Regions from separate parts of the Mus musculus genome. Here all the other regions are reported to be linked to region 3. The links are microRNA targets in miRTarBase. Many come from high-throughput screens and were not tested one by one. Region 3 holds a microRNA gene; each other region holds the end of a gene's coding sequence.

The links. Region 3 holds the annotated microRNA mmu-miR-290a-5p (ACUCAAACUAUGGGGGCACUUU, at 4,092-4,113, shown strand). A microRNA usually pairs through its seed, bases 2 to 8, with sites in the 3' UTR of a target mRNA and lowers its output. Matches are read on the target gene's strand: a 7mer-m8 pairs with bases 2 to 8, a 7mer-A1 pairs with bases 2 to 7 and ends in A, and an 8mer does both.
Region 1: the mRNA of Vamp3 is a reported target of mmu-miR-290a-5p. Seed matches in the 3' UTR shown: 7mer-A1 at 3,677-3,683.
Region 2: miRTarBase lists Xkr8 as a target of mmu-miR-290a-5p. Seed matches in the 3' UTR shown: 7mer-m8 at 3,292-3,298 and 7mer-A1 at 2,320-2,326.
Region 4: miRTarBase lists Ppih as a target of mmu-miR-290a-5p. The part of its 3' UTR that is shown has no 7-base or 8-base seed match.

The regions. Positions count from the first base shown.
Region 1 is chr4:151,045,558-151,051,363 of GRCm38, reverse strand. Vamp3 (vesicle-associated membrane protein 3) reads left to right here. Exons shown (of 5, transcript NM_009498.4): 3 at 289-447; 4 at 1,318-1,369; 5 at 2,318-4,059. The coding sequence ends at 2,334. The region is part of intron 1 of Gm38529; the gene reads right to left. Among named protein-coding and RNA genes, the nearest start is that of Gm38529, 3.6 kb to the right of the region's middle.
Region 2 is chr4:132,723,745-132,729,550 of GRCm38, forward strand. It overlaps Xkr8 (X-linked Kx blood group related 8), which reads right to left. Exons shown (of 3, transcript NM_201368.1): 3 at 1,160-4,826. The coding sequence ends at 4,111. It overlaps Eya3 (EYA transcriptional coactivator and phosphatase 3), which reads left to right. Exons shown (of 17, transcript NM_210071.2): 17 at 1-1,021. Among named protein-coding and RNA genes, the nearest start is that of Xkr8, 5.9 kb to the right of the region's middle.
Region 3 is chr7:3,214,548-3,220,353 of GRCm38, forward strand. It overlaps Mir290a (microRNA 290a), which reads left to right and starts at 4,079; the gene lies at 4,079-4,161. It overlaps Mir290b (microRNA 290b), which reads right to left and starts at 4,148; the gene lies at 4,091-4,148. It overlaps D7Ertd143e (DNA segment, Chr 7, ERATO Doi 143, expressed), which reads left to right and starts at 4,237. Exons shown (of 1, transcript NR_028425.1): 1 at 4,237-5,806. Mir291a (microRNA 291a) reads left to right here and starts at 4,372; the gene lies at 4,372-4,453. It also overlaps Mir292, Mir292b, Mir291b, Mir293 and a transcript of Nlrp12 not described here. RefSeq lists a cis regulatory region at 1-1,055.
Region 4 is chr4:119,306,457-119,312,262 of GRCm38, reverse strand. It overlaps Ppih (peptidyl prolyl isomerase H), which reads left to right. Exons shown (of 10, transcript NM_028677.4): 7 at 1-44; 8 at 691-731; 9 at 1,416-1,504. The coding sequence ends at 1,484. Among named protein-coding and RNA genes, the nearest start is that of Ppih, 11 kb to the left of the region's middle.

The sequences.
Region 1 (5,806 bases), not on the chromosome of region 3:
CAGCCATGAAAGTGAAACATCCTGTTGTTCTGCTTCAGATCTTAGAAGGAAGTTGAGTCTCTCACCATAGTATGTGATACTAATGTGGGCTTCTCTGTAATTGAAGTCTCTTCTATTCCTGGTTTGCTGTGTGGATGTATCCCAAAGGCCTGGGCTTCCTTCTTAAGTGGAAGTTTAGCTCAACATAATAAAGTACTGATCTGGAAAAAAATACAAAGTGCCCATAGGTGTCATGTGGAGTTTTGTTCTTCCTCTCCTTTCCGTGTAACTGTGACCATGTCCATTTAGGTGGTTGACATCATGAGAGTCAATGTGGATAAGGTGTTAGAAAGAGACCAGAAGCTCTCGGAGCTAGATGACCGCGCAGATGCACTGCAGGCAGGTGCCTCGCAGTTTGAAACAAGTGCTGCCAAGTTGAAGAGAAAGTATTGGTGGAAGAACTGCAAGGTAATGCTCTCTTGACAGACCTTCACAGCGGGCCTCCATACCCCAAGTGTTGCACAGGCACTCTGTTGCATTGGGTGACTCTGGGTAGTGGGTAGAATCTTGGCCAACTATGAGTCTATATCCCTTTTCCTGGCCCACAGCTGGGAATCTAATGCCATGTTTTGTGGCTAAAGTTAGAAGACATGCAGAATCAGACGGCCCAAGCAGTCGTGGGCACTAGACCTAGGTAACTGAGAACACACTGACGGGGCTATTGGCTTTGATGCTCAGTTAACTGCCCATTCTGGGAATGGCTCCAATTTCAAAAGTTAAATGCTGGGCTCGTGAGATGGCTCAGTGGGTAAGAGCACCCGACTGCTCTTCCGAAGGTCAGGAGTTCAAATCCCAGCAACCACATGGTGGCTCACAACCATCCGTAACGAGATCTGACTCCCTCTTCTGGAGTGTCTGAAGACAGCTACAGTGTATTACATATAATAAATAAATAAATCTTTAAAAAAAAAAAAAAGTTAAATGCTAAGAAATCCCACCTTGTTCAAAAAGAGGAGAAAGCAACATATGAATATTGTCCAAAGCAGACTTAGCAAATGGGAATGTCTGTGATTAGAGCTCACACACTTCCTGTTATGCTTTGTTTAGAAAGGACACTCTGAGATAATGGGACAAGATCAGGAGCCTGTGTGGAAATGTGTGTGTTTTCAGAGGTCACAGAGGATTGGAATCTACTTCTGAAAGCCCATAACTAAATTTCAGGACTTAACTGAAAATATAAAATTTAGGCTTTAGAAATTATATAAATTATTTCACACTGTAGCGGTTGCGGCGAGCACTGTCTGTTTTGCAATGTTAAATGGATCTGTCTTGTTGCAGATGTGGGCGATAGGGATCAGTGTCCTGGTGATCATTGTCATCATCATCATCGGTGAGTTACCCATGGTCATAGACGTTCGTCTGTGCAGCAGCAAAGAGTGGATTCAGTCCAAGGTTTAAATATCGTTCTTTATCAAGTATTTTAAATACTTGAGGGTGTTTTGAGATGATGGTATTGCGGGAAGTTTGAGGCAGGGTCTCGAGGCAGGGTCTCGATGTTCAACCCAGGCTGGCCTTGAACTTGTGATCTTTCCGCCTTAACATTTCAAGCGCTAGGATTATAGGCCTGTGCCACCAAAATGATCCTAAATATTTGAGTTTTTGTAATTAAAGTCTGGTGTTTTGTTAGATGGATGATGGATAGATGGGTGCACTTATCCTTTAAGAATAGCAAATCTCACTCCTAATGTCTGGTCAATTTTTCTCTCCTGTGCAGTTTTAGTCTGTGTCCTTTTGTGGAATGTAGTGATTAGCTGAGTTGATCCATCCCAGCTATGCCACCTGTAGTAAGGCTCTGTGACTTTGGGCAAGCAGTTGGGTCTGTCTGGACCTCAAGTGTCCTCATGAATAAAATGAAGATGGTAATGGTGTCCACCTTGTGTTGTTAGGACAAACCTGGTTATTACATAAGAAAGTACCTGGCATAGGAGAACAGAAATAGTAATTATGTAAATAATGTATATAGCTAGCACATAGCTACTCCCACCACTCTTGTGACTGCATATTAGAAGAACTCACTTTATTTTCATTCCAGTCTATGCGAACATCCTAGCAAAGCATGCCTTCCTTTGCTAGTTCTTGTTAGTATTTCCTTTTCCACTTTTGAGTTTAGTCTTCCCCAGAGCCCTGTAGCATGTAAAGAAGCTGCCAGTGGAAAACTGGCCAAGTCAGTTTCTCTCTGTCCCTCTTTAGACAGTAGAAGTCCATCCCTACTGAGTATTTGCACACACAAAGACTAACATGCCCTTTTCATTGTTTCTAAATCTTCCCTGCCTCTTAGTGTGGTGTGTCTCTTAATGAAGAACCGATGAAACTGAAGCCCGATATTCAGGATCTTCTTCAAGACTTTCTACTTAGAACCTGCCGTGTTATCGAGCTTACCTATTGTTTTTTTTCCAAATGATTATTTTTGTTAGTTTACATACAGTTTAGTGCCTAGAAAATGTGCCTTTGTTTTTCATATACACTCCAAACTGGAGGTGTGACCTACCCTCCCCACATTTTGCACAGTGCCTTTACAGATTTCTGGACTGGGAAAGAGGACTTGTGTAGTTCTGAGTGCTGAATGGAGGTGGATGTTGTCACTCAAGATGACTTGTTGTGGATTCCAGGAAGGGGGTTTTGTTCAAGGCAGCTGTCCCCACATCTGACATCATCTTCAAAACCACATTTTAAACTTTTGGGTAATTAGATTCCTAACTTGGACCTTCCAAGAAGAACACTACTGCCTAACAGCAATGGGTGACAATAGCAGGGTGTGCCTTATTTTGATAGCTAGGAAACTGTTCTTTAAGATTATTCTCCGTTTGTAAGCACTACTGACTCCCGCTGTATTTAAGATGCTGGTGAAGAGCTCATGCTCTTATGTTAGATATGACTATGTTTACTTTCTTGTTCTTGTTGTATATCACTCCTAAAATAGTATTTTAACCAGAAATAACCCTTTAAGAAGTTTTTATAGAACTATGACCAAAGTTTCTATTTTGCCAAAAGTTAAGTACAAATAAATTGCCCCAATAGATACATTCAAATAAGTGCCAAATGTAACTCAAGGTGTCCTTTAAGAAAAATGTTAATACTGTGAGAGCGAGCCTTCAACATGTCGGCAGTCCATCCTGTGAAATGCTATAGAGAAGGCTAGTCATTCTGATTTGGTTTCTTCTTTAGAGCTATGGAGGTGGGCTCAGATCACACCTGTAGACAAGATACTTAGCCAGCAGTTTGTAGACTGAGCTAGGCTGTGGTCTCTAGTGCGATGTGAGCAGTAGCCGTGCAGCCTCACCAAGGCATCAGTCTGCACAGAGTTCCAGAAGACTGTGTACTGCTTGTACTCATCTCTGTCTTATGCTTGAGGTAAGCCACCGGTCACTCGTAGAGGATAGCTAACCAGAGATGCCTGGTGCTCTTAGAATGTAGCCATTGCTGTCTGGGACAGTTTCATTGTTTATATGAGACTTTCATCAAGGCTTGGTTCAAAGACAGGAGTTCAGGCATGGGTGGAATTGAGGAAGTGGTGAAGGGAAAGCTGCTTGCCTATGGCAGTGCCACTAGAATGTCCTGAAATCTGTGTTTGTGTGTAAAGCAGCATTACTCAAGATGTCATAGAATCTGGTTCTAGTTTTTTGTTTTTGTTTTGTTTTTTGAGACAGGGTTTCTCTGTATAGCCCTTGCTGTCCTGGAACTCACTTTGTAGACCAGGCTGGCTCGAACTCAAAAATCCGCCTGCCTCTGCCTCCCAAGTGCAGGGATTAAAGGCGTGTGCCACCAACGCCCAACTGGTTCTAGTTTTTTATCTGTTCCCCTAACATTACTGAAACAATACAGATGTTGAAGATATGCCTTGCCGCATCAGCCTAGGGCTTCTGTCCTGGTCTGACCTCACAACTTTGGTGCTGTCTCCTCATATTCTGTCCCATGTAACTCAGTGGCTCCTGTATTAACACAGTGATACCTCGCTTCTCTGTGCATTTAGCTGGGAATGTTCCCGGTATGGTGACCAGAATAAAGTTGTTTATTAACATGATCCTGTGTCGTGTTTCTTGGAGTGGAGTTGGGAATACACCTGATGCATGTCCTAAACTTCTGACCCTTGATGCTCCCCCTCCCTCCCTGACAAACTATGTTTTTTTCTTATTCATTATCCTAGGAGCACATATTCCTGTGAGAAGATGTAGATCTCACCCTGTGTTAGGGGACTCTAGAGCAACAGAACTAATAAGGTGAACATATATTTTTAAAAGATTTTTATTATGTGGTATGGTCTACCTCACACTGAAGATGCTGAGAACCTGATAGCTGCTTAGTCCATGAGGCTGAGTTCCTCAGAAGTTTCCATCTGGTACTGTGGGCCTGGAGGACTCCTGGAAAATCTCTGGTGTTAAGCCCATGTGGAAGCCCATGTGGAAGCCCATGAAAACATACTGAGTTCTGATAACATCAGAGTGCAGCAACAGCAGGGTAGATTAACTCGCCTGTGAGTGAAGGCTTGCAGGCAAAGAGCAGAGCTTCCTTCTCCTATCTTCCCCACTTTACATACTCCGAGCAGGGAAACCCATCAGGAATACCTGGCAGGCTGCCTTTTAGTTGATTCCACATACAATGGAGTCGACAACTGGAATTAACCATCATATACCTTAATGAAAAGTGCTTTTCAGAGCAGAGATGAGTCCATAGCTGGTTTGCAGTTACCAGACCAGTAAGGATTTGGCTATTGGGTTTCTTAAATAGTGTCTTCTGGAAGTGATTTGTAGAGTTGACCCTGGTACACCACACAGCTACCAACCACACAGGTAAACTTAGGGGAGGCATGTCCCAAATGTGTGGCTTTTTTTTTTTTTTAATCTGCCTTCCTTTGAATATATTTCCCCTCATTCCCCCACTCTTGCAAACAATGTAATATAGACCGGGTAGGATTTTGTCTATGTTTACAACATAAAAGTCTAAATACTTTTCCTTAAGCACAAACCCCATCACAATCTGGCCCTTCCTTTCTCCCATTGCTTCAGGTTCTTTTTTTTTTTTTAGATTTATTTATTATTATTATATCTAAGTAACTGTAGCTGTCTTCAGACACACCAGAAGAGCATCAGATCTCATTATTGATTGTTGTGAGCCACCATGTGATTGCTGGGATTTGAACTTGGGACCTTCAGAAGAGCAGTCAGTGCTCTTAAGCACTGAGCCGTCTTTCTAGCCCTCGCTTCAGGTTCTTAATGACTAACCTGTACTTCACAAGGATGGCCTGAAAGGGACAGTGCTTTTCAGTTCTGTTAGCCCACCCATTTCCCCCACCCCAAAGGATCACTCAGATTCAGTTCCCCTTCTCAGCGGCCCTCCCTTACCCTCCAGCCTGTTCCCTGGGGCTCTTGCCTCCTTCCTCTGTCCTTCCCATTCCTACCAGTTTATGTCCTACCAGCATCTTAGGCTTTCTTGACTTTGAGGCATCATCCATGTGTTGTATGTTGAGTATGAGAGAATTTGGTTCTGTCCTCAGTACAATAATCCCTGCCCACATGTGCACCCAATGGTCGTACAATGAATGTTTCTTGAAGAACTCAGGAGTAGAGTAATCCAGTGTGGAGAAAGACTTTTTTTAAAAATCGGTCATTTGCCCAATATGAAATGTGGATACTTGCTCTCTGGCATTTTCCCCTTCTCCTTTGGCCTGAACACTTTCATTCATCCAACAAATACTTAGTGTATTTTTTTAAAGATCTTATTATTTATGTGGTGTATGTCTGGATAGCGTATGCTCACTGTGCAGGTGTCT
Region 2 (5,806 bases), not on the chromosome of region 3:
CTGTTGGAAGTTAGAAGGCAGTCCTTACTGAAGGAACACCTTGAAGAAATTAGCTGGTGAATCTTTTCCCTGCTGGATCCTGTGTTCTGGAAGATTAGTCAGGACATCTCATGGTGACAGCTAGTTCTAGGAGTGTGTGGGGTGGCAGGAATGTCCTGGGATACAAGGTGGCTTGACTTTCGAATGTAAAAGTGACTGTGCCTTAGCATCACCCTGTCCAGTGCCCCTGGGGCAGCCGGTGATGTCCGCGAGAGTGGATACCTGCTCCACATTTTAGGTGCCTACTTGGGCTTTTGATTTGGGGGTGTTCTCTTCTCTGCTAGTCGGGTGACAGCTAGTGTCCCAAGAGACTTGGCACAGCTTGTCCGTGTTCACCCAAGCTCAACCTTCACAGCTCCAAGTAGAATCTGACTGGCAAGCTGCAGCAGCAAGCTCATGGCGCTTCCATAGACACTGCTTTGAATGGGAGTCACACAACTGACAGGAGCACCAGGCAGAGCTCGGTGCTGTCCTGGAAGAGTGCAGGCTAGCCGCCAAGTGCCAAGCTTGGGCCTCATTCCTCACTCTCCCCAGGTAGCTGAGGCCCTTGAGTAAGCGTGTGCTCCCGGCTGCTCACTGGTCAAGCAGCTAGAACTACCCAGACACACCCATTGTAGATGCCAGGTTGGCGTTCTGAGCTTCCCAAACATCTAAACCACGAGGGGGAGAACCCCGCTTGTGTCCCAGCCTCATCTGCGGGCCGCTTGCCCTCCCTCTACCCTGAGTCAATTCTAGTGAGCATGGCTCCCTGGCTGCCTCCTCACACTGAGCGGAGCCATCCCAGTTCAGGACCATTTCTACTTGGATCTCCACTCTCCCTCTGGACTCCAGATGCCTCTGTAGCAGGAAAAGGCATCCATGGGTGGGATATATATATTTATGTGACTGCGGGCATTTGTGGCTATAGAGTCCTTGACCATAATGTTATATGTAATGGGAACTATCTTATAAACTTGAAAAAATAAAGTTTTTATTTTCTATACGGTTTTCTCCTTTGTCTTTTCTAAGCCATCCAGGGTCCTTCATCAAGATGTCACCCTTTAACTAACTGAGTCAGTCATTTCACGCACACACAAAGTCATCCTTTGGTCTATCCTGGAAAATAAACAATTGTAAGTTTGCGAGAGAAATGTTTATTTGAATTGTTTCTAAAATACACTGCTTTTTAAGGTATAGAAATGGAATGGATTTCAGAGCTGTCGAGTGTGCTGAACGTTACCAAGGAGGAGTCAGTCTGTGCTGAGCATTAATTAAGCCGCAACCCAATAAATCCTGACTTCCCGTCCCACCAACCAGGTGTTCTACATTCTGCCACATTTGGTCTGATTGGCCCCCACTAGCTTACAAGAGGGCTTTTTACCCATTGTTCCAGTGAAGGAAATTAGAAGTTGTTTCTAGCTTCCAAAGGTGAGATATGTCGGACTCCAAGGTGAATTTTCTCCGGGAAGTGATCTTCTGAGCCGCAGTGCAGCTCAAGTAGACTGTTAGCTGTTGTCCGTACCCCTGCTCAGTCACAAGTGCAGATTCTAGTGTTGGCTGGTTTCCAAACCCTGTAGTGCTTAGACCCCTGACTCCCGGCTGGCCAAGTGTTCCCGGGATTTGTGAATGAGAGACACACACCATCTAACTTTGATATGCTCTGACTAGCTCAGTGGCTGGACGTGTCTAACCCTCCGTGCGACTAGCATACATTCTACCCCCCTAACCTCCCTGAGTCGACTTGCTAAGTCATCATTTCATCTCTGCTGCCCCAGACCCAACTGCGCAGTGAAATCCCTCTGCTTCCAACTCCCCGGGGTTCCTTGCCCTCACAACCTAAAAGTCCCGCCTCTTTCCTGCCCAGCCAGCCCTGGGCAACTTTATTTCCCAATCACAGCCAACTAGTGACAGGCTTCCTTTAGCAGAGCAGATTCCCGTGTGATTCTGGGAGCCGAATTAAGACAGAGCATTAGAACCAATCCCCAACAAACCAAACATCCTAACTACGGGTAATGTCACTAACCTGGTTTTAAGTCCCAGATTTTAAGAACTTAGCACGGTAGTGTTGAAGGAAGGAAGATGTGCTCAGGGTCCTCTCAGACCAGATTGTGTGTCACAAAACAAGAGCAGGGTAGTAACGTCTTTCTTTTTTTAATTTAAAAAAAAAATGTGCCAGGCGTGGTGGCGCATGCCTTTAATCCCAGCACTTGGGAGGCAGAGGCAGGCAGATTTCTGAGTTTGAGGATAGCCTGGTCTACAGAGTGAGTTCCAGGACAGCCAGGGCTACACAGAGAAACCCCGTCTCAAAAAGCCAAATAAATAAATAAATAAAATAATTTCATTTTGTTGGAGACAGGGTCTCATGTAGCCCAAGCTGGCCTCTGACATTGTCACTGAGGAGTCTGAACTCCTGATGTCCTTGCCCAGACTGGTAGGTGTGTCACACTGGCTCATCCCTATCTTACCATTTTCATAAATGAGAGTAACAGTGATTTCAGGTGTGTACCTGTGGGGGCATCTGTTTAGAGGATGACACCTTCTGGTGTGATTACATCCGTTTTTCCATGAGAGTGAACACGGAGGTGGTGACTGTTTTTCAGACCCTTTTAACATCAACAACCACTTTGGCTCCTTTTCCTGGTCTGTAAAATTCAGGTCTGGAAATTAGGTCCTTTCTGTCCATAGTCAGCCTGTACCTTTTAGTATAAGAAGTACCTTCTCCCAGAGCCTCTTCCAGGCCCCCACCTGCATCTCTGCAGCCTCCTTGGCTGTGAGCCAACCGCACCCCACAGTCCTCTTACAGTGGGGTTGCTGTGCCACAGGGAACAGCATTCGCAGATTCCTTCTCCAACAAACCACGCAGACTCCATGCTGCAGTCACTGCTGAAGTAGCTTACAGTCTATGCCTCAGTTTCTCAGAGGGGTCCTCCCCAATGGTTTTTTATAAAGCTGCAACTTCCACCCACAACATACATCCTCCCTCTCACCTCTCCATCTGGTTTTCTTTCAGTACTTGGTGCTTGTTTGGGTCACAGGTTATTTCACGTCCACACAAATAAATGAATGACTGCTAGAACTATCTGGGTCCCAGCACTGGGACCTGGAACCTTTTCTTCTGCCCCTGGAGCCTCTCTCCTGTTCCCTTTTCCCAACAAGACCACAAACCTCCGAGAGCAGAACACGCCACCTCCACGGAGCTATTGACCACATCCCAGAAGCCACTGCACCTCTCACCCAAAAAGAACCCCCAATCCTTTACCTTCCATCCAGCCCCTCAAACCTGCCATCCCCATCCTCAAGTCCTCTTTAGGCTCAGTACGGAGCTGCTAAAAGAATACACTAGCATCTGCCCATGAGTTCTGCTAGCCGAATGATCAACCGGCTCGGGCTCACTAGCCCCTGCGTCTTGGGAAGCAAAATTAAGTCAAACCTATGCCCACATTTGTATGCCAGGGGTCTGTGTCAGTTTTAAGGGGTTCCAGGCGCCTTCTACGTGTCTGTAAAGGGTGATAGACTACACTTAGTGGTACATACTGGTCTGGAGAATCTCATGAGGCTTTAATACTGTTAAACACATGCATATATGTTCTTCCACATAGACTGAGGTAGGAGAATGAAAATACTTACTGGGCATCACATGGCCTAGACCACAGGTCCATAAGGCACTTGGTATAAAGGTGGCCTGAGCATCAGGACACTGGAGGGACATACCTGGCCTCACTGTTTAGGAGTCTACCCAGGATCTGTCCAGGTGGGCAGGGAAAGAAGCTAGAGTGGCAGGCAGTTCAGAAGCCAGGATGGTGTTCCCAGAACATAAAGTGCCTTTAGCATTTGTTGGTTGAAGTGAATGGATGGGATGGGGTAGGGAAGAGTTCTCCCAGAATCTTGTGTCATCTAGAGCGGGCTAGGGAACCAGGAGCCAGGACGCCACCAATCACCTGAGAGGTGAGAACAACAAACAACCGAGTGTTTGCTGACAGCAGTTCCATCGGCTTCAGAAGAAAAAAAATGGCTTGCACATGACTGGCCCGCCTTGTCCCTTGCAAGGCCCCACTCGCATTATCTTCCTCACTGGCTGAATCAGACCCTGCCTCAGAGGACTCCATTCAGCTGCACCTCCTCTGTCAGGACAGCCCGAGCTTTGGCCTTGGCGAAGAAGTTCTCTGCTAACAGGGTGGCACGCCTGTTATAAATCAGCTTAGGAGGACGATGGGGAGAAAGGAGTCCTAGGGTCCCATCCACGAGGTCAGGGTCCCAGCTGCAGCTAGGGTGCAGCCAGAGGTAGTAGATCACACGCAAAGCCAGTCCCAGGAAGAAGCAGGCTCCTCCTATTGTCACCCACATCAGCAATGAGATCCCACTGGGCAGCCAGGTGCCGTGTGTCACCCAGGAGGTGGTGACCAGCAGAACACTGTCACTGAAGATGAAGATCAGGTGGATGACGGCCCGGCCTCGAGTGCGGCCCCCAGACACGTTGAACCAGGAGAAATAGAGGATGAGGGCCATTGTCACCCGGTACAGCCACTCACCTTTGGAGTCAGGCATAAAATTTGTGCCTTGAAGCCAGATCCAGAACAAAAGTACCAGCCACAGGCTGAAGAAATGCAGGGCCACATAGTAGGGGAAGACAGCTGAGAACAAGGCGATGGCACAGATTCTGGGCCCCAGCAGCAGCAGGTTCCACAGGAAGTAGATAGCAGAGGAACTCCGGCCCAGGCGTGGCTTGGAGGGAAGACAGGTACGCAGAGACCGATGGTAATCCAGCAGTGCCCACGAGATGCCAAGAAAGGATGAGCTGATGCCAAACCCTACCATGAGCAAGAAGAGAAAAGTCAGCCTGGGTGCAGCCTGCCTGTCAACCCCCAGACTCGCAGGAACCCTCATAGAAACCCAGAAGCAGGTCTTAAAAGCCCCAGCTTGCTCAATAGACAGTTGGAGAGAAAAGAGGAAACACAAAGAAAAAAAAAGAGAGAGAGAAAAGGAAACACAAAGAAAAAAGAGAAAAAAAAACAGTTGAAGAGGGAGAACATTTCGAGGGGTCAGTGCTCTGCTGTCAAATGCTGTCCCAGTGATATTCTTAAGTATGAGAGGATGTGTGACATGTCTCAGAGCGTAGTAACAGGCCTCCAATTCTAGCTTTCCTCAGGACTGGGAGTGATGGCCAGCCCACCCCTCTTCACTTGCCTCCATGTCCAGCCTAGGCCATTATCTTGACTTTCCAAGATCTAGGTGTTGATGATAGGGTTCGTGTCCCAGCTCTGCACTGCCTAGGGCACCGGGGCCTCCAAGAAGAGAGTAACATTGGCATACCTAACAAAGTGTCTCCTCTCATCTCCTCTAAGGTATCCACTCAGCAGGAGTTTACTGATAACCTACTGCGTCCTCGGAGCCCACTTGTAGCCTGATATCAAAGCTCTATTTATCCCCATCTCTTAACTATTTGCCAACTCCTTACCCTACAAACCCCAGCCCAAATAAATTCTGGGGCTACCCACCCACCTAGATTCCACTCTGCTGTCAGAGGCCTCTGTAACAACCTACCTACCCCATTAACCCAATTACCTCCTTTTTTAGTTTGATGATCCCCACCCCCCACCCCCATCCCCAAGACAAGGTTTCTCTGTGTAGCCCTGGCTGTCCTGAAACTCACTCATTAGACCAGTCTAGCCTAGAAATCAGAGATTCATCTGCCTCTGCCTCCCAAGTGTTGAGATTCAAGGCCTGCACCATGATGGCCTGACCTTTATTCTACCCTCGAGCTCCTGGAGGGTAGAAAACTTATTCTGCT
Region 3 (5,806 bases):
TTCTGCCAGCCTCCGTGCCATTCAGACTCCAGGTAACGAAGGAAGTCTAACTAGTTTGCAGGTTAACAGTCCCTTTGGCTGGGGAGAATGAAATACATCTCCCTTCGGATTTGAGCCTGGGAGGACTTGGGAGCAGGTACCTCGCCTGGTGCCTCACTTCCTAGGTGCAGTACAAACCTCAAGATCTCTGCTGGGGTCCCTGAAGCTCAGCATGAGAGGAAAGGAAGGAAGCCCAAGGTTGAAGGCAGGGCTGATAAAAGCAATGTTTTTGCTAATTTTCATATATCCCCAGCTGTCTTTTTTTTTTTTTTTTCCCGAAACAGGGTTTCTCCGTGTAGCCCTGGCTGTCCTGGAACTCACTCTGTAGACCAGGCTGGCCTCGATCTGAAATCCACCTGTCTCTGCCTTCTAAGTGCTGGGATCAAAGGTGTGCGCCACCACACCGGGCTAAAACAGCTGTTTCTTAGTGTCATCATAGAAAGGTTTTTGTCAGAACCTTGGAAGGCAGCTGACAATGATAAAGAGGAGAAGGGGAGCCAGAGTGGCACCCCACCTTTGCCCCTCCACTTCTGAGCTCCCTGCTAGGCCTAAGGGTCAAAGGTAAACTCTAAGGAGGCCTTATGGAGGACTTAAGAGATGCTTCTACATTTTTAACCCTAGGTGCTTTCAAAAGTGTTCTTTATGGAGCCCTTGAGCTGTATTAATGTATAAACAGGTATACTGCCAAACTCAAAGACCTGAAGGCAATCTCTGGACCCCAAGAGGTAAGACAGAACTCAGTGCTACAAGCTACTGTCTAACACCTATATGCTTCCATTTCACCTCTGCCCCTCCCTGCAACATACACCAAAAATAAAACTTTTTTTTTTTTTTTTTTTTTTTTTAGGCAGGGTTTCTCTGTATAGCCCTGGCTGTCCTGGAACTCAAATCCGCCTGCCTCTGCCTCCTGAGTGCTGGGATTAAAGGCGTGTGCCACCATGTCCAACAAAACATAATTTTAAAACGCTCACTGTGGGCCAGCTTGGTACAAGCCCATACTCGAGAAAGCAGAGAGAGATGCGTGGATTTCTGTGACTTGGAGGCCAGCCTGGTCTATATAGTGAGTTCCAGGCCTCTCTTGCCTAGCAAGATCCTGTCACAAGAAATAAGCAAGTAAGGAAGTGAGTGAGTGAATAAATAAATAAATAAATAAATAAATAATAAATAAAATTCTTAGGGTTAAGTTAGTGGGGCACTTTGCTTGGTTATGTTCAACACAGTATGAACAGGGAACAGAGTTGCCAAGGCCATCTTGGGAAAGTTGAAGAGAAGCTAAATCAGTAGCTCATCCCAGGCTAGGCTCCTGGCATCCTAGCCTAGAAAGATCCAGTCAGAAAGAAAGAAAGAAAGAGAGAAAGAGAGAGAGAGAGAGAGAGAGAGAGAGAGAGAGAGAGAGAGAGAGAGAGAGAAAGGAAGAAAGAAAGAAAGGAAGGAAGAGAGAGAGAAAGAAAGAAAGAAAGGAAGGAAGGAAGGAAGGAAGGAAGAGAGAGAGAGAGAGAAAGAGAGAGAGAGAGAAAGAAAGAAAGAAAGAAAGAAAGAAAGAAAGAAAGAAAGAAAGAAAGAAAGAAAGAATTATCCTTCTTGTTGCTGCTGTTTGAGGCACAGTTTCACTTGTAGCTGCTTGGCCTACCCATTGCTGGAATTAAAAGAATGTGCCATTATACTTGACCAAACCCATATCTCTATCTGCTTCCCCAAGCCTAAGACCTAGCAAATTGCTGGTGAGGCTTGTTTGTTCAATTAACAAGACATCTAAAGTATATTAAATATGCCTGGAATTAATGACTGAACTGGGCATACTGGTATATGCCTATTCCAGCCCTTGGAAGATTGGAGACAAAGACTTATGAGTCCCCACTAACCAAAGAACACACATGGGCTGGACCTAGGCCTCTTTGCTCACATGTAGCCGAGGTGTAGCTTGACCTTCATGTGAGTCCTAAACAGCTGGAGCAGAGGCTATCCCAAAAGCAGTTGCCTGTCCCGGAGTTATGATGGTCAAACTGGGCTGCTTTGTCTGGCCTCAGTGGGAGAGGAAGCACCTAGCCCCACAGACTGGAAGTGCTGGGGGGGGGGGGGCGACTCAGAGGAGAAGACTGGGGTTGGGGGAAGGATTGTAGAAGGAGGTGACCTGGAGGGGGGCAGTGAGTAGGATGTAGGGTGAATACATTTTTAAAAATTAAATTAATTTTTTAAAAATGTTCCATTACACACACACACACACACACACACACACACACACACACACACAAGGTGTAGACTTAGGAGTCCTAAATTATTCTTGGCTATTTAATGAGCTTATGGCCAGCTTGGCGTACTTGAGCCTTGTCTCCAAAAAACAAACAAACAAACAAACAAACCCTAAACTCCAAGTCTGCAATATGCCTCTGTAGCTTTAGCCCTGCCGCCTGGAGACCTAATTTCAATCCATGGAGCTATTTAAAGATATTTAATAAATAATAATAACAACAACAATAATAATAACAAAAGAAAAACAGCCGGGCATGGTGGCACACGCCTTTAATCCCAGCATTTGGGAGGCAGAGGCAGGCGGATTTCTGAGTTCAAGGCCAGCCTGGTCTACAGAGTGAGTTCCAGGACAGCCAGGGCTACACAGAGAAACCCTGTCTTGAACCCCCTCCCCCCCAAAAAAAACATATTTAAGCATAGGAGAAAACTAACTCTATCATATTGTTCTTGGACCTTCATATTCAGTGTGGGAAAGAAAGAAAGAAAGAAAGAAAGAAAGAAAGAAAGAAAGAAAGAAAGAAAGAAAGAAAGAAAGAAAGAAAGAAAGAAAGAAAGAAAGGTAAAAAAGAGGGAGGATTTGAAACTCTGGATTTAAAAAAAATTCAAACGAAAGAATAAACTGAACCTCCCACATTCTTCCTTTATTTATTTTTATTATTATCTTAATACTGAATGTAGCCCTGCCTAGTCCCGTGCCTAGTCACCATAGTAGACCAAGCTGGCCTTGAACTAACAAAGATCCTCCAGCCTCGGCCTAGAAAACTATAGGATTAAAGGCGCTGCTTCTAGAAACAAACAAAGAAATCTGTTTCCTCTGGGGGGTGGGGGGGAGAAGAAACCAGTGAAGGTCACTCTGCCGCAGGGAAACTCAGCTCAGAGGAAGCAGGGTGGTAGAGTAAGGATTCTCCGGGGTGGGGGAGGGGTATCAGAGCCTCCCAGTCCAGGGGGCCAATGAGCCTTCAGACTATATAAGAACCTAGAGCCTCCCCCACGCCTCTCAGAGACTTCTACTCCACATCGGGAATGCTGGTCTCTGCGGTCTTCAGGGATACCTCCGGCGTGCTGCTTCTCACATAGGCAAAGGTAATATTTTTAGTTTCAGATTTTTTATTTCCTTCAGTTCTGTGGTTTTAATCTACCTGGTTTAGAGAGGCGAAAGTAGATCCAGGATTTCCAGAAGAGAGATCTTCCTGCTTCAACTTTGGAGATGACTAGCCAGGCTGGCCTTTAACTCTCATTTCTGCCTGCCTCTCTGCCTCCAGATTAAAGGTCATCACGGCCATCTTCATTCTACTTTTTAAAAACTAGAGCCCCTTTTTTAAAAGGCAGGCTAGCCGCGAACTCAGCCTTCCTCGCTCGCCCCCACGGTTTGGCTGGGTTTACTAATCCCGAGGCAGAGGCAGGCCCATCTGAGGTTGGTCTGGTCTCCAAAGAAGACATTTAGAACTAATGTGTGTGGAAAAAGAGTTGGGCTTTTTTTTCTGACTTGGTCTACATAATTTCAAGGGAGGAACGAGCCTATGTGGGGAAAGTGAGTAGTCTGGGCGCGAGTGAAGTTTGGGGACCAGAAACCAAAGCTAGGAGTTACTGAGGGCAGGTCTAGGGAGTCTATGCAGTACATTTCATTAACTACGTGGTTTCATTGTAGAAATTTTGAGTTTCACTATACCTTGAGTTAGACCGATGTACTAACTCTTCCTTGATTTCATCCAGGTTTCCTTCAGGTTGGAGTGAATTTTAAGTTCTCCACGTTCTTTCCTCCTGGTAAATGTTTTAACGTCTGGACCGCCTCATCTTGCGGTACTCAAACTATGGGGGCACTTTTTTTTTTCTTTAAAAAGTGCCGCCTAGTTTTAAGCCCCGCCGGTTGAGAAAACGGCTATCTGGCACATTTACCAGCCCTGGTGCCACGTGTTCCGGGTTAACTGCAGCGTGGTGAGTACGGATTCGAAGAAAGGAATGAGACTGAGTATAGCGAAAGGCTAGGGATGGGCATCCTGCCCAGTAGACGGTAACTGAGGTGGTCGTTGTAGGGTACCTGGGGGCTCCATGTGCGTCCTGTCGCTGCTTGGAGCTGTTACACCTATGTAGCGGCCATCAAAGTGGAGGCCCTCTCTTGAGCCTGAATGAGAAAGTGCTTCCACTTTGTGTGCCACTGCATGGGGAAAACATCATAGCTTTGCATCTGACGCATCGGTTTACAGGAGCGGACAACCTGTGTGGGGGTTTAGGCTTGGAGTTTAATGGGTCCTATCCTAAAGAGGGCGGTTCAGTTGGGTGCCACGAGACGCGGATGGATGTAAGGCAGTCGTGAGTCCAGGTGCATTGTAGATTGTTCTTAAGCTTGACCTCCAGCCTGTGATACTCAAACTGGGGGCTCTTTTGGATTTTCATCGGAAGAAAAGTGCCGCCAGGTTTTGAGTGTCACCGGTTGAGAACTCAAAACGGCTAAGAACTAAGAATTAAGTTTTAGTGGGTCATGTTTTCACTGGGGTTGCATTTCTGGGCAGGTGGGTGTCACATGTGGGTTTGAGTCCGAACACTTGGGCGCATGCGGTACTAAAGGCTTTCCGCGTTCATAAAGGAGCCGGGATCCCACATGGGCCTCGCTCGGAGGAGCTGAGCCTCAGGTCTTGGAAGTTGGAACATACAGTGTCGATCAAAGTGGAGGCCCTCTCCGCGGCTTGGCGGGAAAGTGCATCCATTTTGTTTGTCTCTGTGTGTACATGGCGTCTGAAAAGCCGGCTGCAGCTGCAACCTGGAATCGCTTACCTGCTTGAAACAGGTATGTGTGCTGGAGGTGAATTCGTTGCCACTGGCTACTCGAGCTGCAAGGCTGGAGGTGAGGAGGAAGCAGGGCAGGGTGGAAGGAGGCACTCCAGGTCCAGGGGTGGTGAGTCTAAGCCTCAGGTCTGAGTAAAGAAAGGCCTACTTTTAAATCTCACGTGGCCGCCATATTAAGTCCTCTTTCAATTTTTTTCCTTTTTCTCCAAACAGGGTTTCTCTGTAGCCCTGGCTGTCCTGGAGCTAACTCACTTGTAGACCAGCCTGGCCTCAGCTCCATCCACCTGGGATTAAAAGATCCTATATATCTTGCTTGACTACTGTAGTTGCTATATCTTGCTTGACTACTGTAGTTGGACTGATGGTTGTGAGTCTTGATATGGTTGGATTGAATTTTTAGGACCTGCTGGCTGTAGCTGACTTTAACCTGGCTCCTAGCACAAACAAGCTTGGTGGACAGCCGGGTAGATAATACCCATAATACCTTTTGGCTTTACAATAGCCCAGGCTCATGAGGGCTGGGATTACAGGTGTTACATTGTGTGCCCTAAGCATAATCTTCATGGATTCTCTTTGTTTTTCAGGTGTTCCAGTTGAGTTGAATGTAATCCTGCCTAGCCTGGGGTACTTACTTGCCTTCAACCTGCCTGGCTGGCTGGTCTGGCTAAGAACTGACTATAAAGTTTCAGGTTTATTACCACAGCAGGTCCCTGTGGAAATGCTTCAATCTGTG
Region 4 (5,806 bases), not on the chromosome of region 3:
GTGTTCTAAGTGTGATTGGCTGGATGGAAAGCATGTAGTGTTTGGTAAGTCTTACTCCCGTTCCATCGTCTCAGTCACTTGGGCCTGCCACAGAATCCAGTCTCCACACCCACTAGATGTGCTCAGCTGCTGTAGCTACTCTAGGCTAGGGCATGTGGACATGGTGGGGATGGTAGGACAGATGGACATGGTGGGGATGGCAGGACAGATGGACATGGGGATTGGCTAGAACTCGGGAAAAACAAGAGTATCTCTTTTTTTTTATTTATATGAGTACATTGTAGCTGTCTTCAAACACATCAGAAGAGGGCATTGCATCCCATTACAGATGGTTGTGAGCCACTATGTGGTTGCTGGGATTTGAACTCAGGACCTTCGGAAGAACAGTCAGTGCTCTTAACCACTGAGCCATCTCTCCAGCCCGAGTATCTCAATAAGTACTCGTGAAATAAATAATAAATGCCCTAGAGGTAGCATGGAGGAGTGGGCTTGGGGTCACTTATATTCAAGCCTGTACTCGTTCTCTGTGTAGATTCCCCGTGACTTTGGGTGAGTAAGCTCCCTCAGCAAGCCTTAGTCTCCTTGCGTTGTGAGGGGATCTGATGAGATGCTAAGGGAACATGGTCCCTGGGAGCTGGAAAACACTGTGATCACACCAAGAAGGGAGCCTTACTTAATGTTCTTCTGCAGGAAAAATCATTGACGGACTTCTAGTGATGAGGAAGATCGAGGTAGGTCCTGATGGGTGTCCTGAGTCTTTGTGGTCAGGGGTCTCATGCTTATTACCGAGGAGCCAGTTTTCTAGACCATCTGTCCCTGTTCACAGTTCCAGGCTCCTTTGGGAAAGAGAGTTCAAGCTTGGACCCATTCATTAACCTGCCCAGCACTTACTGGGATTTTGGCTCTGATCCTGATGCCCACTGAATAAAATTCCACTTCTTGGCATTGCATTTGGAATCCTTGTGACCTGTACCCTACCTGCCCCTCCGTGACCCCTTCTGCCACTGTCTCCTCTGGTCCGGTGTCATCAAGCTCCTGGCTCTTTTCTAAGGAGGTCCTACAAGTGTGTGCCTCCTGCTCTTCGCACCCTAAGTCTTGGCTCCAACACTTCTCTCTACCTAAAGAATTCCTCCTTGGGATCTTACCTATGGTCCCTGGCCCAGTTCCAATGTCCCTTCTGTGGCTCCCTCTCCGTAAGCTGGATCCCTTCAGTGTTCTTCTAACTTGCATGATCCCATTGTGGGCTGTGGCCTCTCATTGTTCCTCTTCTCCTTGATCTGTTATATTTTACTCTCCGTCAGGACACGCTCCTTACATCAGCCTGATCTTGGACCTTTCCATAGGAGATGAAAGGTTCCATGAGGCACCGGGTAAGTGCCTGAGTGCATTTCATGATCTTGTGCTTTGTTTTCTAGAATGTTCCCACAGGCCCCAACAATAAGCCCAAACTGCCAGTGGTGATCTCACAGTGTGGGGAAATGTAATCTAGACAAGACGGAACCAGGTACGTGTCCTTTTCTTCCTGGCTCGGAAAAGGAGTCATGGCTTGAGGGAGACTTTCTACCCAAAGATGTGGACTGAGTCCATTTCCTCTGCATGTGAGCTGGGCGCAAAGCACTCCTGCAGAACAAGTTTCCTCAACTGTCAAGAGAGGGTGTCAACCTTAGGGTCATTGTGACAAGCAAAAAAGGGTGGATATTGGGAATATTCCCCTTTTTACTGGTTCATACAGTGTCCCCCTGAAAAGGAACCCCTTGCATTGGGACCAACCTGGGGAACCAGGAGATATGTGCTATGCCACCCTCAGAACTGACACTGGCGTCCAGCCTTGGAGGTGTGAGCCTCATATGCCACTTTTTCACTTTTATAGCCCTTCCTCCTAGTACATGCTACTGGCTGCTTTGCACTGGGGCTTTCTGGAAAAGAATTGAGAGGCACTCCCAGGAGAGACGACACGTTCTTAGAGGTGAAAGCTAGTAATGCAAGTGACTTGTGTGCTTAGCACACTAGGGAGCATGGGTCAGTCCACCGCTGGAAGGAGGCCTGGCATTGTGTTTGCCTTGAAATTTTTTTCAAACCTACAAAGATGTTGGGAAAATGTTGATTAGTCACCCACAAGTATGCAGCTAGGGTGACCAGTGATTGACATTTGTGGACTTGCTGTCTCCTCCCTCCGTTCCCATGCCACATCCTCTCCTCCACTGTCTTCTTAACTTCCTGCCCTCAGTACTTTTCTTTCTTATTCCAAAACTACAGACCTCTTGATACTTCACCCCTAAGCACTTCACAATGAGCTGCTAAACAGTGAGAATATTCTAAATAAAATGATATTTGTAATACATGGCACATATACCAGACTACCTTTTAAATCATACAAATCTTATTTGTAGTGCTGGGGACTGAATCCACTTTATGCATTCGAGCAAAGTACACTACCACTGAGCTGCACCCTCAGTCCCACTTTTATAGATGGACACACACACACACACACACACACAGACCCTGGCCAGACATGTTGGTGTACTCCTCTATTCCCAGATACTTGAAAGGCTGAGGCAGGGGGTTCACCTGAGAAGGTTTAGAGAACAGCCTGAGCAAACCCTTCACCAAGTTCCTTGTATTTTCTTCTTTGATTTCTTTCATTTGTTTGTTTTAATGTGTATGACTGTGTAACACTTATATGCCTAGTGTACACAGAAGCCAGAAGAGGATGTCAGATCTCCTGTAGTTATAAGTGTTTGTAGGCTATTGTGTGGGACTTGAACCTGAGTCCTCTGTAAGAATAGCAAATGCTCTTAATCACTGAGGCATCTCTCCAGCCCCTGCCTTGTTTATTTTTAATTACACAGGTAGCACAATACAATTTCCATGTGAAAACTTTTATTTTGTTTTGAAAACTCTCGTTTTTAAAGACATATTTATTAGTTTTTCCTGTATATGTGTGTGAAGCTGTATAATTTTTTTCTTTTGGGTTTTTTTTTTTTTTAGATTTATTTTATTTATATGAGTACATTGTAGCTGTCTTCAAACACATCAGAAGAGGGCATTGCATCCCATTACAGATGGTTGTGAGCCACCATGTGGTTGCTGGGATTTCAACTCAGGACCTCTGGAAGAGCAGTCAGTGTTCTTAACCCCTGAGCCACCTCTCCAGCCCTGTGTGAAAACTTTTAACACCAAAGTAATGATGTAGATGCTGCTCTTCTTCCCAAAAGTCACTTACTTGTCAGTGAGTGTGTTCACCTTTGTTGATCTGTTTTGGGAAAGATTGTTCTTTTTTTTTTTTTTTTTTTTTTTTTTTTTTTTGGTTTTCGAGGCAGGGTTTCTCTGTGTAGCCCTGGCTGTCCTGAAACTCACTCTATAGACCAGGCTGGCCTCAAACTCAGAAATCCGCCTGCCTCTGCCTCCCAAGTGCTGTGATTAAAGGCGTTCACCACCACTGCCCGACTAAGATTGTTCTTAAATGACATCATGCTATAGTATTCCTCTTGCTTTTTTCCCTCCTTTTTATTTTATGTGAGTCTGGGTTGGGGTGTGTGCGTGTGAGTTCACGTACCTCCTTAGTGCTTATCCTAGGAGTAGTCGGCTGCTGAGTGTGAGTACTGGTTCCTCTGGAAGAATGGAAGTGCCACTAACCACTGAACCATCTCTCCACCCATACCTAGTTCTTTGCCTTAGCCTCCTTATTGCTAAGATAAAATATTACCACATCTAACTAGACATTGTGGAGCATGCCTCCAATCCCAGCACTCAGGAGGCAAAAGTTGGCAGGTCTCTGAGTTCGAGGCCAGCCTGGTCTACAGAGTGAGTTCCAGGACAGCCAGAACTACACAGGAAAAAAAAATTATTTATTTATTTTTTAAATTTTAGCCTAATATGGTACTACACATCTGAAAGTCTATAATCCCAGCCAGGGAAAGATGGACAAGAGTCTGACGAGATTAAGGACCATCTGGACTTTAGAATGAATTCAAGGCTAGCCTGGCAACTTAGTGAGACCCTCTGTAAGAGAGGACAGATGAAGCCTGCTTAGGGGCAGATAAAGGTCTGGCTACCAAGCTTGTAGGCCTGAGTTTGCTCTCCAAGACCACATGGGAAAAGAGAGAAGTGGCCCCTGCAGTTTGCTCTCTCACGTGGGTTCCGGCTTCACACAGCCATGTGCACGTGTGCAAAGTAAACAAAGGTCTTTTTTTTAATTGGGGCTGGGTGTGGAGGGTTGTACTTAAAATCTCAGCATTTGGAGGCTAAGGTAAGATTTCCACAAGTTCAAGGTAAGCTGGGGTGCTGCTCAGGACTGCAAAGGACCTACGGGGTAAAGTGGAACTTCTGGTTTCTTTGGAAAGTCAGTTATGTCAATGACATTTTGCTGGGGCACACAGGTGAAAGGATGTTTTCTAAAGCACACACATGGAAGAATGTTTCGCTGAAGCAGACACAAAAAGAAACGCACCAAAAAACTGCTAGTGGTGTTCTGGAGACTTCTGGCTGCTTCAGACTTGAGCCGATTGGCAGAATGATGTCAGCTGATGCTAATTCACGTGGTGTTTGCTGAGGACATGTGATGTTTGGAGGGAGTATGAACAAGGCTCAGTGGACGGTGGTGGTGGGCTTGCATAGCTACCTTTGCAACACGTCTTTGTCTTCACTGATCTTCACTTTGTTGAGAGAGGCACGACAGAGAACTTTGCTTGGCATCCCAGCCGGTCCTGGTCAATCCCGCTGATTCAGCGGAGGTCTGGCTGTTTCTGCTGGGTAGTGCCATTGCTGCTAATTCATGTTTGCTATCCTGACTACTGAACTGGACTGCTGGTATCCTGGCAATTGGAGATTGAAATCTCCCCAAGGAACTTCTTCCAAACCACATACAGCAGAGCCTCTCAGTTTCCTCTGGATGGACCTGCTGTTGCTGATTCTTGTGAAGTGAACTGATGATGGATTTGCTCCAAAGAACTATTTCTAAGCAAGTCCACCTCCCCCGTAACCTAATAACCGTTCCCATTCTTTCTGCTGGGTGGTGAACTGAATAGAAGAAAGGTTAAAGCATTTAAGAAACCTTACTAAAAGTCACTTATTAAAAGCCTACACCAGGGCCTGGTTCTCACTATACTACCTTGTCTAGCCTGTCTCCAACTCATGGAGGTGCCCTGTCTGCCTCGTGCCTGCTGAGATGGAAGGCATGCACCAACATGGCTGCCAGTCTCTTTTTCACATACAGATCTAGTCAAATACCAAACCTCAGTGACTGTGTCATCATCATTTGTGACAGGCATGTGCTCAGAGCATCTGGAATGTATAGGCATTCAGTAAAACTTATGCCTGAGGTGCTGGGGAGAGAATACCAGACATTTTAGGGAGGGGGTCGTGGTGAGCAGTGCTGAGACAGCAAGCACAACTGCATGCTGGGAGCTACATGTGGATCTTTCTTGCCTATACAAATGCTTCCTTCTCAGGCTGAACAGATACCGTGAGCCTTTCTGTCACAATGGGGATTCCCCTGGGCTCAACCTGCTCCCACTTCAAGAGCTCTTGGCGATTCTTTCCCGTTCTCACTCATTTCTTCCATATCTCTAATGAAGAGTTCATAAGCTGACCCCTGATCATCACTAGATGATAGAAGATTACAAACAGACTCAAAAAAAAAAAAAACATTTAAGAAATATCATATAATCTACCCAAAACTTCAGGTCTCTGGTCACACCTGTGGGGATTATGTTTTGTAGTGGTCCCTTTGGCCATTGTCACTCTCCTTCTTTTTGTTTGTTTTTTTTTTTTTTGAGACAGGGTTTCTCTGTATAGCCCCAGATGT